Zea mays: one gene and its partners. The protein of the gene in region 3 binds, or shares a complex with, the protein of the main gene of each other region. Links are inferred from orthologs where the notes say so. Each region holds a gene or a part of one and is shown on either strand. Other genes may lie near its edges.

Region 1 (4,082 bases), on a different chromosome or scaffold from region 3:
TTTTTGTGTAAATTTCGATTCACTAGTGCTTTTCAACCGGATTTCGGTTCTTTTTCATCAAAAAGATCATTTAGCCATGTAAAAGTTTAATTTTTAGTACATTTTAGTGTGGTGTATATATACATTTACACATGTCATTGTAAAATCCAAAATACACAAGTATACATAAATTAACACGCACTGCCCATATAATTTTCATATAACATATATATCCCTTGCACAGACTACTCATCAAATATATACACATACATTGAAGAAAACCAATAATCAAGGTGATGGTGGTAACAATGATAATGGTAGCCATGGGGATGATGGAGACGACGACGATGGTAGCCACGGGAATGGTAGAGGTGAATGTGATGTTGGAGCATATGGTGCTAGGGGTAGGCATGCCTCCCAAGTTATGGGACACCTCATCCACAACGATGTCATTCGTTTGCAGACCTATTGATGATGGCAATCACAGACAATTATCTCTAGTTACAACTATCCGCCTCGACGTGACCAATACCTACATACGTATGGCAAGGATTACTAGGTGAACTACAATCACCATTCATGAGTACTTGTTTTTATTCATATATGTATAGGAAATTAGTCAAGAAATGCGGATTTTGATTCTTTGAATTTGAAAACGTAAACCATTTAGGAAAATGTAAAATCCAGACAAATTTTGGTTAATTTTCTGTTTTCGGAAACGAGCGAAAATTTGGTTAAAAAACGGGATGAGTAACCGTGACTCTGTTTTTGGTTAAAAACAGGATGAATAACCGTGACTCTGTTGAGTAGATTCCAATTATTTTCAAAATGAAGCGATACAAACGGTCCTCAGACCGTGTCCAACAATTCACCCCTATGGTCACCTAAAAATACTGTTTTGCACTATTTTATACTATTTTGCACTGCAGACTATCTCGTTCATAGAGTGAAGTTTGAATATATGTATGAGGATGTGTAAGCTTATAGAGATAGCCTTAGAGGTTGAAATGAAATTTCTTTTTAAAAATTGATGTGCCACTAGGTTTCGATTTTTGAGTTTTTTATAAAAGTACAGTCAGAACCTGATTTGGTAATAGGATTACTTGAGGATAAAACTCTTGCAGAGTTCAGATTAGTTTTTTTTCTAAAATAAAGAAGTTACTTCCTACAGTAGACGTGTGGGCCGAGAGATGTTCTAACTTGTAACTTGTCTCGGAAACAGCGGCCCAGCCGCCCAAATATCCCAAAGACGGATCCGACACACTTCCGAATTCCGATCCACCCACTTCATCACCAAGGCCGTCGTCTCTCCCCACGCCGGCCGAACGGATGGCGGCGGCGCCGACTGCGGATGCCATGGACGTCGACGCGCCGGCTAGGACGCTGACTACCTCTCCGGCCACCAAGTTGCGCTCCCCTCACGACCTCCTGGCAGAGACACGCGCCTCCATCGAGAAAGTCGCAGCCCGGATACTCGCCATCAAGAAAGACGGCGCCCCCAAGTCGGAGCTCCGCGAGCTTGTCACTCAGATGTCTCTGCACCTCGTCACGCTACGCCAAGTACGTCGGCGTCGCGCTCCAAAACCTACCCCACATCCAAAACCCTACATGTAGATCTGCTGTGCTAAGTTGAGTTTGATCCGCGCAGGTGAACAGAGAGATACTGATGGAGGAGGACAAGGTCAAGGCGGAGACGGAGGCCGCGAAGGCGCCGGTGGACTCCACGACGCTGCAGCTGCATAACCTGTTGTACGAGAAGAACCACTACGTGAAGGCCATAAGAGCGTGTCTTGACTTTCAGACGAAGTATCCGGGGATAGAGCTTGTGCCCGAGGAGGAGTTCCAGCGTTCCGCGCCCGCAGACATCCTTGAGAAGACCCTCGCTGCCGACGCCTCCCACGACCTCATGCTCAAGCGCCTCAACTTTGAGCTCGTCCAGGTTGCGTATTGCTATATTTTGCAACCCTGTAGGAACTATGGAACTCTACCTGCTGCCAATTTGCTGTACTCTGTTAGTCTGTTTGGTTCCCTGTTTGAGGGACTTAAATATGAACAGCCTACATTTTGAGCTATGGTAGCTGTTGGTAAATTACATACCACTTTAAGCCTAGCATACATGATTCTTTTTGGAGAATTTATAATTTAGAACTATACTCGATAGTGGATGAAGTTACACCACCGCTTGCTTTTGATGCAAATCATCTGGTGTATTGTTTCTTGACAAGCTGATTTTTCACGCATTTTTGGATAAACTGTATTCTGCTGTGCTTGAACTCCGTTTAGTTTTCAAATTCTATGAAACTTACTAAAATATTTGCAGTCACCTGACAAACTTATTGTTGGCTATTGGCTTGATAAGCTGATCGTATCACACATATTTTGCTGAATTATATTGTGCTCTGCTTCAACTTCTTTTAAAATTTACATCTTATTCCTAGGAGGCTAGTTGAGTTTTGCACTTACTATAGTATTTGGATTATTTGTATCACTATTAAGTATTACCTAATAATAATTGTAGCATAATGAAAATTTCTATAATCTATTTTTAAGAAGACTGCACATATATTCTTCATTGTGCTCAGGTTGTTTACCATCACTTTTGCTCTCATGTCTTAAGTTGATCACCATCCAGTCACATGTATTCTTTTGCTATTGTGTTGCACCTTTTATATTTCTTTTATTTATTTCCGCACACGGTTTGAACATTTTAAGGACAGTAGTTCTATACTCTATTAGGTGATGCTAGCGTTCTCTCATTTGCGCTGTTTCCATGATTTCATTGCTGGCTTCTAAAATAGATTTTAAATTGTAAACCAGAGGAAAGAGTTATGCAAGCTACATGAGAAATTAGGACAACAGAGGGGCAGCTTGCTGGAGACAATTGCTAATCAGAAAAAGTTTCTTTCAAGCCTGCCATCACATTTGAAATCATTGAAGAAAGCATCACTGCCAGTGCAGCAACAGTTGGGGATGCAACATACCAAGAAACTAAAGCAGCACCATGCTGCTGAGTTACTTCCTACTCCGCTTTATATAGCATACACTCAGCTGCTAGGGCAGAAAGAAGCATTTGGAGAGAATATTGAAGTAGAGATCGCGGGAAGCACAAAGGATGCCCAAATATTTGCTCAACAACAAGCCAAGAAGGAAAACAGTACGTATGCATTTGCTTGATACTCCTTCCATCTACTCCATCTGTTCTGTTATACCAGGATTATTCTCGTTTTTAATTTTGGCCATAATACTGGACGGGCTGGAGTATCAAGGGCACTTAATTAGACCACTAAAAACCGAAACGTCTAATGCATGTGAATAGCCCAGCGCTGAAGCATGCCATGCATGTAGTGGCACCTTCGGTTCATTGAATGAAGGCATGGATGCAAACGTGGCTTGTATACTGCTGAGCAGGAACTGAACAATGGTTAGAGCATCCCCAATGGGCTAGCTTAGAGCTAGTTGAGACCATTTCGCTGAATAGTGCAAAAGACAAGAGGCTAGCGTGGAGTAAAGAGATAGTCTCACACGTTTCACGATGCCCCTCTTTCTCACACAATATGATATAAATTGCTATTGGCTCTCTCTTCCACGTTTGCTAGCTTAGAGCTTGTACTAGCTCATATTGTTGGAGATGCCCTTAGACTTTGTGGTTAGGGACACAGATGACTATGTGAGTTAATATGATTTGCATGTGATTGAAGGTCTTGGTATCTATAAACATCCTTATCACGCTTGGTAAAAGGGAATGGAAGGACTGGTATTCACATGCGTACTGGGTCTGGAAAAGTATCCGGCATGTACAGGCGCAATAGCTATTTGCATGCAGTTGCATGCGTTGTTTCCTGTTTACGTGCACCCACTCTTCCTGTAATCCTGTATGCAGTTATTGTAACTCCTTGTTTACCCAGTCAGCGGTGTGCAGGCGGGAATCTGGTCATTGTGGGAGCATGCGTGTTGCAATAAGCATGGCGACACATGCATGCAGTTATATTGTGTGGCATGCAAGCTGGCAACTGCTTGAAACTGAAGCGTTTTTGCGGCTGTGAGGTCCTGGTGAAAATTGTTTAAGCGCCTGTGAACACAAGATGTAGGGAATATGTCACAGC
Region 2 (2,721 bases), on a different chromosome or scaffold from region 3:
TTCAATTGCATTGACATGCTCTCTAGAGTACAAAAAAAAGATGTTGACACTCACCCCACCCCCAACACACACACAAAACTCTCAAACCTTTAAAATTTAATAAATAGTCTTCCAACGAAGGAACAATAATGACAACTGAGAACTCATGTTTAGAAATATAATAAAACCATTCAAGACTATTCCCATCTAGCAATGTTACATTGTAAAGTTAAGGTAGAAGAACATACTCAAGTTTTGTGAAGGTTCTAATGCATAACAACTCTTTGACATTCCAAAGACTGACAAGTGAATCTGCACTTCCAACAGCGAAATACCTAGCATTGGAACAATTTGTAACTGTCATCAGAAAAACAATTATAGCTTCTCCCAAAATCAGAGTAACTGGAAACCAGATAACTGATTACTATATCCAAAAGATGACTACAAAATGTATGAAGCTTACTTGCATATTGTTGTGGACCAAAACTTGAACATAATTGCTTTCATCACAAACAAGGCTAATTGGAACCATACAATATGGGTCCGTCATTTAGGCCCAGACTCAGTCACACATCAGGCGATTTTCTCCACCTCAATCTATGTGGTGGTATATTGAGCCTCACAGTTCGCAGGACAAAGTATCTAGCGTAGAAAATAAACTAGATCCACTGGCAAACTAAATTGCTCCTCTATGTAAATTCTGAATTCAGTAGTTGCATGAACAGAACAGGTAATCATTTCTTCTCAAACTCACTTACATGTAGGTCATGTCCTAGTTAATCACTCACCCAGAGGTTGCTATTAGTTAACAATTTCTTCTTTACCTAGAGATGAAGCTAGGCTATAAAATTTCAATAATTCTTGTTATTCTGGTCTTTTAAAAAGAAAAAGAATTTTGTTATTCTAATAGCCAAAATATATGTGAATAGGTTGTGGCAGTATTAATTGGAATTAAAGTAATTAATCATGCAAGCATCAGTGTCAAATATTTATAGAGTTCACTGTTACATACATCTTAAATCAAATAGCAGGCCAGATAACCCAATTGAAGTAGTACAAATTACAAATCCAAGTGATCCAAAGAAGTACCAGGGGCGAGAATAAATAAAGAGCCTTCAATAGAAAATACCTATCAAGTGGATCCATTGCAATGCAATAACACCCTGCTGTATGAGCATTCAGCTTGCAGGGCTTTAAAAACTCAAGATCCTTAACCACCTCAACGTGCCCTGCATGACCAATAGACCATGCGGAAACATTAACTGATACAATATGGTAGCACTAGAAATCTGCCAAAATGTAAATACAGTGTTTATTTATTCAGTATTATTAACGTGAGCTTGGAGAAAGCATTTAGTATCCTACCTAACCCAGTAGTAATGAAGAATAGATCTCCAGCTTTATTCCAAGCAATCTCATTCATCTGAGGAACAAAGCAATAATGCAAAGTTGCAAACATTAAACAGTGAAAGCAATATTTTTCCTTGAACACACATGTGTATCAGCATTGAGGGAGAGGCCAAAATGACAAATCAGTCCTCCCTCCCCCCCCCCCCCCCCCCCCAAAAAAAAAAGTGCAAAGTTGCAATGAAGAATAGATCTCCAGCTTTATTCCAAGCGATCTCATTCATCTCAGGAACAAAGCAATAATACAAAGTTGCAAACATTAAACAGTGAAAGCAACATTTTTCCTTGAACACACATAATGTGTATCATTGCATTGAGGGAGAGGCCAAAATGGCAAATCAGTCCATCCCCCCACCCCCAGGTCTGAGTAGGTGGCTGAGTAGCAGGTCCTAAGTTTGACTCCCTATGACAGCAAATTTTATACTGGGGTGAAAAAAAAACCTCATCTGCCGAAAGGTTCATGATCAGCAATACACAAATTAAAATAAAGTATACGAGCGAAAGGGCCTCTAGCTGAGTTAGCTAGGTGGTTTGAGTTCGATTCCCCATGAGAGCGAATTTCAGACAGTGTTAAAAAAATCCTCTTGTCTGTCCCATGCCAAAATATAGGTGTAAGGCTTGGTCCTGGTCGTGGTCGTTCTTACATGGACTATGGTGCCACTGTGTATGGGTGGAGCACTGGAGCAGGTGTCCGGAGGTTTTCTCAACATGTGTGAGGTCTTCTTCTTAATACAATGTATGGGGGTTGTCTTATCCCCCGCAAGTCAAGTTTTAAAATAAAGTATATGTTCAATTATTTGCTAAATTCATACAGCAGTACCCATTTACTCAAAAAACATCCATACATCAAATTGTCTCAGACAAGCACACAAGAACAGTGCTGCTCATTTTATTTCTACAAGGCGAAAGGGTCTCTAGCCGAGTTGTTTAGATGCTCTGAGTAGCACTCCTCAGGTCCTGGGTTTAACTCCCCGTAGGAGTGAATTTTCAGGCTGTGGTTAAAAAAAACCCTCGTTTGTCCCACGCCAAAGCACAGGTCTAAGGCCCAGCCCCGGTCGCAGTCGTTCTCACATGGGCTACGGTGCCGCTGTTTATGGGTGGAGCAGGGGTTCGAGGGTTTTCTCGACCTGCATGAGGTCTTCTTAATATAATGTCATGGGGTCTTAATATAATGTCGTGGGGCGGTCTTACCCCCTCCAGGTCGAGTTTTTATTTTATTTTATTTTATTTCTACCGACATGTATATGTGCATCCTAATCCAAAGAACAGTTGGATCAAACAAAGAGTTGTTAGAAAATGATTCATATATCCAAGCTTCAATTTATAATTACCTCG
Region 3 (3,572 bases):
CCAAATGCCTCCCCTCCAAGGCGGTCAGTCATCCCATTCCTTTCTTCGCCCTCTTCGGCATTGCCCCTTCATATACACACACACCCATGTCTTTGGTTGTGCATGCTATCCTAACACCTCCGTTATCGCTCCTCACAAACTTTCCCCCGATCCACTCGATCTCTTTTCCTTAGGTACTCCTCTAACCACAAGAGGTATCGGTGCCCTGCCCTCACCCAACGCGTCATCACCTCTCGACATGTCGGTTTTTATGAAGATGCCTTTCCCCTTGCTGGATAATCGCCACCTCCCGACCTCGACAGTCACCTCGATTCCGATCTCGTCATCGTACCTTATCTTCCCCATCATCGGTCCCACCGACCTCTTCCATGTCGTGTGTGGTCCCTTCCCCTTCGATTGCATCATGTGCGGTCACGCTGCCTCCGCTTGCGCCACGCGTGGCCCCGTCACCCCCGCCTATGCCTCGCTCGGCCCCGCCTCTTTGGCCGCCTTCGACTCGCTTCGCCAATCCCGCCCGCGTCTACCAACGTCGTTTGCAATCCCAACCCTCGATCCCCTCCGTTGAGTCGGCCCATGCCTCGTCCCGCTTCTGTGACGATCCGATATGCACCATCCGATCATTATCCACCGCAACCCACGCCATGTTCACCCGGTGTTCTCAGACTTGTCGATCGGATGGTGCTCACAATCGACGTTGCTCCAGCTTCCTCGTATGTCGCCCCTCCGTGCACGCCACGCTCGTTGATCCCCATTGGCGTCGCGCTATGGAGTATGCGGCCCAACTAGCCAACCACACCTGGGACTTAGTGTTCTGACCCGTTGGCACTAATGTGGTCACCGTCAAGTGGATCTTTCGCCACAAACTCAAGTCTGACGGCTCCCTGGATCGGTACAAGGATCGTTGGGTCCTTCGGTGTTTCACTGAACGCCCCGGAGTGGACTACGACGAGACCTTTAGTCTTGTTGTCAAGCTCGCCACCGTTCGGACCATCCTCTCCCTTGCCCTCTCTCGAGACTGGGCGGTCCACCAGCAGGACATCAAGAATGTCTTCCTTCACAGCACTCTGACCGAGACAATGTATTGCAGCCAGCCCACCGACTTCATCGGCTCCGCTCGCCCAGGTATGGTGTAAGTTGAAACGTTCTTTGCCCCTGTTTGTTTCGGCTTTTCGCAGCTTCTGGCCACCAAAAGTTGTTGTGGACTGCCAAACACTCAGCTTTTCAGCCAGCTTCTATAAAATTCGTTTGGGTAAAAACCATTCAAAATCAACATAAACATATAATCGGTTGAGTCGTCGCAATAGTAGTAATCGGTCACTTTATAGATCCTGGGCCCCATGGACAACTTTATCTTCCTCCGCACGTAATCCTAATGATACTCAGATTCTCTACACAGCCAGATTCTCCCCACAGCTAGATTCTCGGAAAAGCTGGTCAGAAAAAAGTTGAACCAAACAGGCCCTTTGTATGGCCACAAGCAGGCACCGCGGGTTTGGTACAGTCGCTTCGCCTCCGACTTGTTCATCCATCGGTGCGGCGACGGCACCGTCTACCTCCTCTACTTCAACGACATCATGCTCACGATGTCCACCTCTTCCTTCACCAAAGTCGGTACGCCATCGAGATTCTGGAGCAGGCTAGCATGTCCAACTGCAAGCCCTGCTCTACGTCTGTTAACACTCGGACGAAGCTCTGCGACAACAATGGCTTCACGGCCAGCGACGTGACGGGATATCGGAGAGCCTAACCGAGGCTCTCCAGTACCTCACCTTCACAGACTCGACATCGCCTACGCGGTCTAGCAGGTGTGCCTTCACATGCACACCCCATGGGAGCCCCACCTCACAGCTGTCAAGCGGATTCTTCGCTACCTTCGCGTCTCCCTCGACTTCTGCCTCCTTTAACCCTCTCCGACTTCTAAGCTGGTAGTCTACACCGACACCGATCGAAGCTTCCTGCCTCCGTTAGCTTCTTCATGAGCTCCACACCCCCCTCACGTGTGCCACCCTCATCTAATGCGACAACGTCAGGGCGGTCTACCTCTCCAATCTCGTGCAATGTCAGCGCACGAAGCACATGGAGATCAACCTCCACTTCATCCACAAGTGTGTCGTTGTCGGCGATGTACGCGTTCTCTGCGTCCCAACAACTTCGCAGTTCACCAACATCTTCGCCAAGGGGCTTCCTTCCACAATTTTCAACCATTTTTGGTCCAGTCTCAACATTTGTACATGATAGAGTTGTGAATGCGGTGGAGTGTTAGCGTAACTGTGTAAACTCTCTTGTAATGGGCCTTGGCCCAGTTAGCCAGCTATATTAACATACTCCCAACCCACATTAGGGTTAGGGTTACAGTCTTCTAACTTATTTCCTGATCTTTTAGATCAACATGACCAAACATAGAGGGAATAGCAAGATACTAAGACATATAATAATATACTAATACTAAAGATTATATTAGTATTTCAGGGATTAATACATAGAATTACCAAGACATGTACTAATATACATAGAACTAATATCATGGATTATATGACAGAAGCTCCACTTAGAAAAGTGGAGTTACACATGATCATTGTACATAGGAACAATAGCGGCTACCGAAACATACTAATTCCTTAGAAGATGTCTATATGACCCCTTGAACTACCGTTGTTGGTCTACTTCACCCCCTAACATACAAAACAAGGTATTCTACCCCATCGTCTATCCAAAACCATGTAACCAAGCCCCTATGTGGTTTCAATTGGTGGTTTCACCATTGTGGCTTTTTATGGTAAACAGTGCTCATAAAAAGCTGAAAGTACAGGATTAGATCTGTAAAACAAACGGACTTGAGCGTAGTGGTGCTGAATTGTGAACCTCGCTTGTGACAACGAGGCAAAACCACCAATCGGAACCACCTAGGGGTTAGATTAGGTGAGCAGATAGAATACATGGTTTTGTAGGTTAGGGGGTGAAGTAGACCAACAGCAATATTTCAGGGAGTCCTACTAATTCCAACGACCAACGTATAAGTTCCCCTTCTACTCCATACCTCACACATTCGGATTCAGCGAACTATCATTATTACTGGATTGAGTATTTGAGTATGCACAATTCCAAAGCCACTTTATAAATTATTGTGTTCGAAGCATATAAGGTATATCATGACCTTTTCTTCATCCGCTACATGAGAAATGATAGAATGTACAGGGAAAGAATTTCATGCAACGGTAAATATAACTTTAAGAACAGATAAAACCTACCCGAACAAACTGACTGTAGGACACACGCTGGCTGTTTGGGTATCTGAAGTACACTGCAAAACCAGGTTTGTTCGCACATTCACGCTCATAGACAGATTCATCACTCTGCAGTATGTTGGAGATAAACAATTAAGAAGCACTAAAACAATAACCGACACTCCCATTCTTTACCATGAATACAGCAATGATAAATGTGTGGTAACAGTTGAGAGGGAAAATACCTTCCAATAGTAGGCCATCTTCAACGTATCATGAAAAAATCTTCCAAGCCTGCCAGCTTCAAATTCTGTGCAACAGCATATCATTGGCTGTAGGGTTTTACAG
Region 4 (3,108 bases), on a different chromosome or scaffold from region 3:
TAGTTGCTAGATCGTCGTTTGGTTCGGCGTGGTAACAAGCCTGTGGTGCAAGTTCAGGTGGCCTGATCTGAGTTACCAAGTGATGCTATTACTTGGGAAGATTTTGATGTGTTGAAGACTCGGTTTCCAGAGGCTTTAGATTTGGGACAATCAATTCATGGAGGCGGGGAAGATGTCATGGCCGGCCCGACGACATGAGGCGGCATCGGTGGTGAATAGGAAAGGAGGGAAGGTTCGTGTGTTTGAATTTCGAATTTCAATAATCTAAGGTGTCAGGCCGTGTGTCGTGTGAGGCCGAATGACCCATGTAATCGACTACTTGAACATTTCTGTGAGGAGAGGAGGATCGATCAACGGACGACGGACCTGCGATGGCGGCTTGGAGCCAAGGCGGGCATGTGGGAGAGCGGCAGCTCCTCATACCCACGGGTCCCTCCGCCGACGACGCTGCAGGTCGGTCAGCATCGTTGAAACACGTACTGTACCAAAGACAGAGAGGGACGTGACCTAGCGGGAAGCATTTCCTTCAAATGGATGGCTACTGATGTCTACTACACAGTACACACCAACAAGAGAATGTATCTCAGCTGTTCAAAATCTGGTTCAATGTCAGTGAGTCGACAAAATCTGGTTCCTCTTCATGCCACTGTTTCATTTCATCTCTCCGGCACGAGCATCCCTACTGGTAGTTTCCGTCCTCACGTTATCATCAGCGTCCGCCTCAGGCTCGCACTGCCCGCTTTCAGGGCCAGAGACCTCCCCCGGGCTCCGTTTCTGGCTATCCCCCACCGCGCCGTTGTCGGAATCCATTGGCGCCGCGCCTTCGCCTTCTTCCGGGTCGACACCGCCGTCGGTTTCAGGTGTCGCAGCAACCTGCACAGAGGAGAGCCCACAGCAACAATCAATGCAATGCAATGCAATGCAAGGGATGATGATGTCAAAACGACAGGTCATGGTCTACAAGTAGAAGGTGGTCCATGTACCTGATGCTCTCTGGGCTGATGAGCTGACACGCTTTTTGAATCTTCCTTTCTCGTCCGCTTAACCTTCTCGGCGGGTTTAGAAGAAAACTTGGCATTTACTTCAGGTGGCAGCAGTTCTGAAGGTACAACCCCTTCGATCCCGTAGTCTGAAAACTGCAATAAAAATGGTGATCGCCAGCAATATTCATTCCAATCTTGCACGCTCAAAGAACGAAATGAAATTGTTGCGTCGTCATGCTTCACATACCCGCGCGAATCCATCCAAGTCCTGCCTGGCCGAAAACCGTAGTCCTTTCCAACAGTACACCTGTCACACAAAAGCTGCTCTTACAACAATCTACTAGCTATATATGCAGATTAAACACGTAATGCTACTTAGTTTTGTGGAAATAACAACAAGTGCCAATGTTGTATTAGTTCAAGGCAAATATTCTAATTTCAACATCCATCGAAACATATGGGCACAGTACTGCTTTTATGGGAGTATAACCCACGAAAGGGTACAAATAAAAACCACAAGTGTCGATAAGTTCCACCAGCTGTGCCCAACAAGACATGAATTTTTTCAATAGCACTTAATTCTAACTGCAGTACAAGGTAAGGCTCTCCATCGAGAGCTCTGACGATTCAAACCTAATTAGCTAGCAGGGTCCACTTGATCAATTCAATAGACATGTCATGGAATACTTCCCATCGAGTAAAATTTCAAACCAAAAAAAAACAGCAATCGGGCAATTAGCATAGCTGAAATCAAACTTACCCGATTACTTTTGTGGTGATACTCCTCTTCAATTCCAGCAGATGGATCCATCTGCATGTTTAGAAAGGTAAACTGAAGTTGCATCACTGTTTAAAACTTCATTTGCAGCAAAAGGACGAGTGGCCAAAGTGCAAAAATAACCATCACGGTCAACGTCATCTAACTTTCTATTAAAAAAGGATGCAAGAAAGCCTAATTGCTTACATCTTCTGCAAGTGGTTTCCAATATTCTGTAATTGATGGCATGCGGACACGGTCAGGATCAGTCAAGACATTCTACAGCTCAAATAAAAATTAGATTGAGCAGTTAAATTAGAAGTCAGAATATCGTACCACGAAATAACAAGGAAAAGAGTACAGAAGAAAAGAAGCACCAATGCTCACAATCAAGGGAGCAGGGTCCTATATAGATTGACATTTTTCAAACAATATACAAAGAAAGTTTAAAACTTAATTCAAGGGACAACCACTACTTTATAGATTTAATTGCTCAGGCCAATGCCAAACTAATTTGATACTTTTACACTAGCAAACAAGTTAGAATCTAAAGAGTGGAAGTGACAGAATGAAAAAAAAACTTGACCTGCGGGGGGTAAGACAGCCCCCGGGCATTGTATTAAGAAGAAGACCTTCTCACACAGGTCAAGAAAACCCCCGAACCCCTGCCCCACCCATACACAGCGGCATCGAAGCCCATGTGAGAACGACCACGACCGGGGCTGAGCCTTAGACCTGTGCTTTGGCGTGGGACAGACGAGGGGATTTTTTTAACCACAGCCTGAAATTCGCTCCCACGGGGAATCGAACCCAGGACCTGAGGAGTGCTACTCAGACCACCCAACCAACTCAGCTAGAGGCCCTTTCGCAAGTGACAAAATGAAAGAGGACTGACAACAAGACTTGAAGTTGTTTCTATATATAAAGGCAGAAATTCTTGGTGATACATAAGAAACAAATATTGAGGACCCAAAACCTATAAATTTGTGCAATTTAATTTCTAATTCAGCACTACAGTGGGAAGATGTATGTAAACATACGGGGTTTTGTTCTGCCCATTTCCAAAGTTGGCTGAGCTCTTTGCTTCCCAGTCTCCACCTTGGCTTCCTACAATGCAAGAAAGCATGCAATATCACCTTGACTATAAAAGGGAAGAGGTAAAAAAAGAACATCACTTGGCTTTCGGATTGCTACATTAATGACTTATACATTGTGCAAAATATCTCCATGTTTTCTTTTACCTTAGCAGAATCATAACATGAACTATATGATTGGAGAGTCTTTCTCACATATAAGTTTTAAGTTTGATAATTTAATAATGCATACAATCCTGTTACTATAGTTTCTCTCTTGTTAATTTTCCTAACC

What was found.
Region 1: THO complex subunit 2 (region 3) and THO complex subunit 5B-like share a complex: the UniProt entries of both Arabidopsis thaliana proteins name them as parts of the THO complex. The link is inferred for Zea mays from reciprocal best matches to the Arabidopsis thaliana genes THO2 and THO5.
Region 2: THO complex subunit 2 (region 3) and THO complex subunit 3-like share a complex: the UniProt entries of both Arabidopsis thaliana proteins name them as parts of the THO complex. The link is inferred for Zea mays from reciprocal best matches to the Arabidopsis thaliana genes THO2 and TEX1.
Region 4: THO complex subunit 2 (region 3) and THO complex subunit 1-like share a complex: the UniProt entries of both Arabidopsis thaliana proteins name them as parts of the THO complex. The link is inferred for Zea mays from reciprocal best matches to the Arabidopsis thaliana genes THO2 and THO1.

The regions. Positions count from the first base shown.
Region 1 is NC_050100.1:218,465,060-218,469,141, forward strand, and holds the start of THO complex subunit 5B-like, read left to right. Parts: upstream 1-1,247; 5' UTR 1,248-1,308; coding exon 1,309-1,539; intron 1,540-1,627; coding exon 1,628-1,918; intron 1,919-2,796; coding exon 2,797-3,133; intron 3,134-4,082. UniProt on the Arabidopsis thaliana protein: Acts as a component of the THO subcomplex of the TREX complex which is thought to couple mRNA transcription, processing and nuclear export.
Region 2 is NC_050102.1:86,892,409-86,895,129, reverse strand, and holds part of THO complex subunit 3-like, read right to left. Parts: coding exon 2,718-2,721; intron 1,403-2,717; coding exon 1,345-1,402; intron 1,209-1,344; coding exon 1,109-1,208; intron 315-1,108; coding exon 228-314; intron 1-227. UniProt on the Arabidopsis thaliana protein: Acts as a component of the THO subcomplex of the TREX complex which is thought to couple mRNA transcription, processing and nuclear export. Contributes to the integrity of the endogenous trans-acting small interfering RNA (ta-siRNA) pathway.
Region 3 is NC_050098.1:214,439,774-214,443,345, reverse strand, and holds part of THO complex subunit 2, read right to left. Parts: coding exon 3,470-3,572; intron 3,354-3,469; coding exon 3,249-3,353; intron 1-3,248. UniProt on the Arabidopsis thaliana protein: Acts as a component of the THO subcomplex of the TREX complex which is thought to couple mRNA transcription, processing and nuclear export.
Region 4 is NC_050096.1:2,960,651-2,963,758, reverse strand, and holds the end of THO complex subunit 1-like, read right to left. Parts: intron 2,848-3,108; coding exon 2,781-2,847; intron 2,020-2,780; coding exon 1,948-2,019; intron 1,795-1,947; coding exon 1,744-1,794; intron 1,291-1,743; coding exon 1,231-1,290; intron 1,137-1,230; coding exon 984-1,136; intron 874-983; coding exon 652-873; 3' UTR 571-651; downstream 1-570. UniProt on the Arabidopsis thaliana protein: Acts as a component of the THO subcomplex of the TREX complex which is thought to couple mRNA transcription, processing and nuclear export. Contributes to the integrity of the endogenous trans-acting small interfering RNA (ta-siRNA) pathway.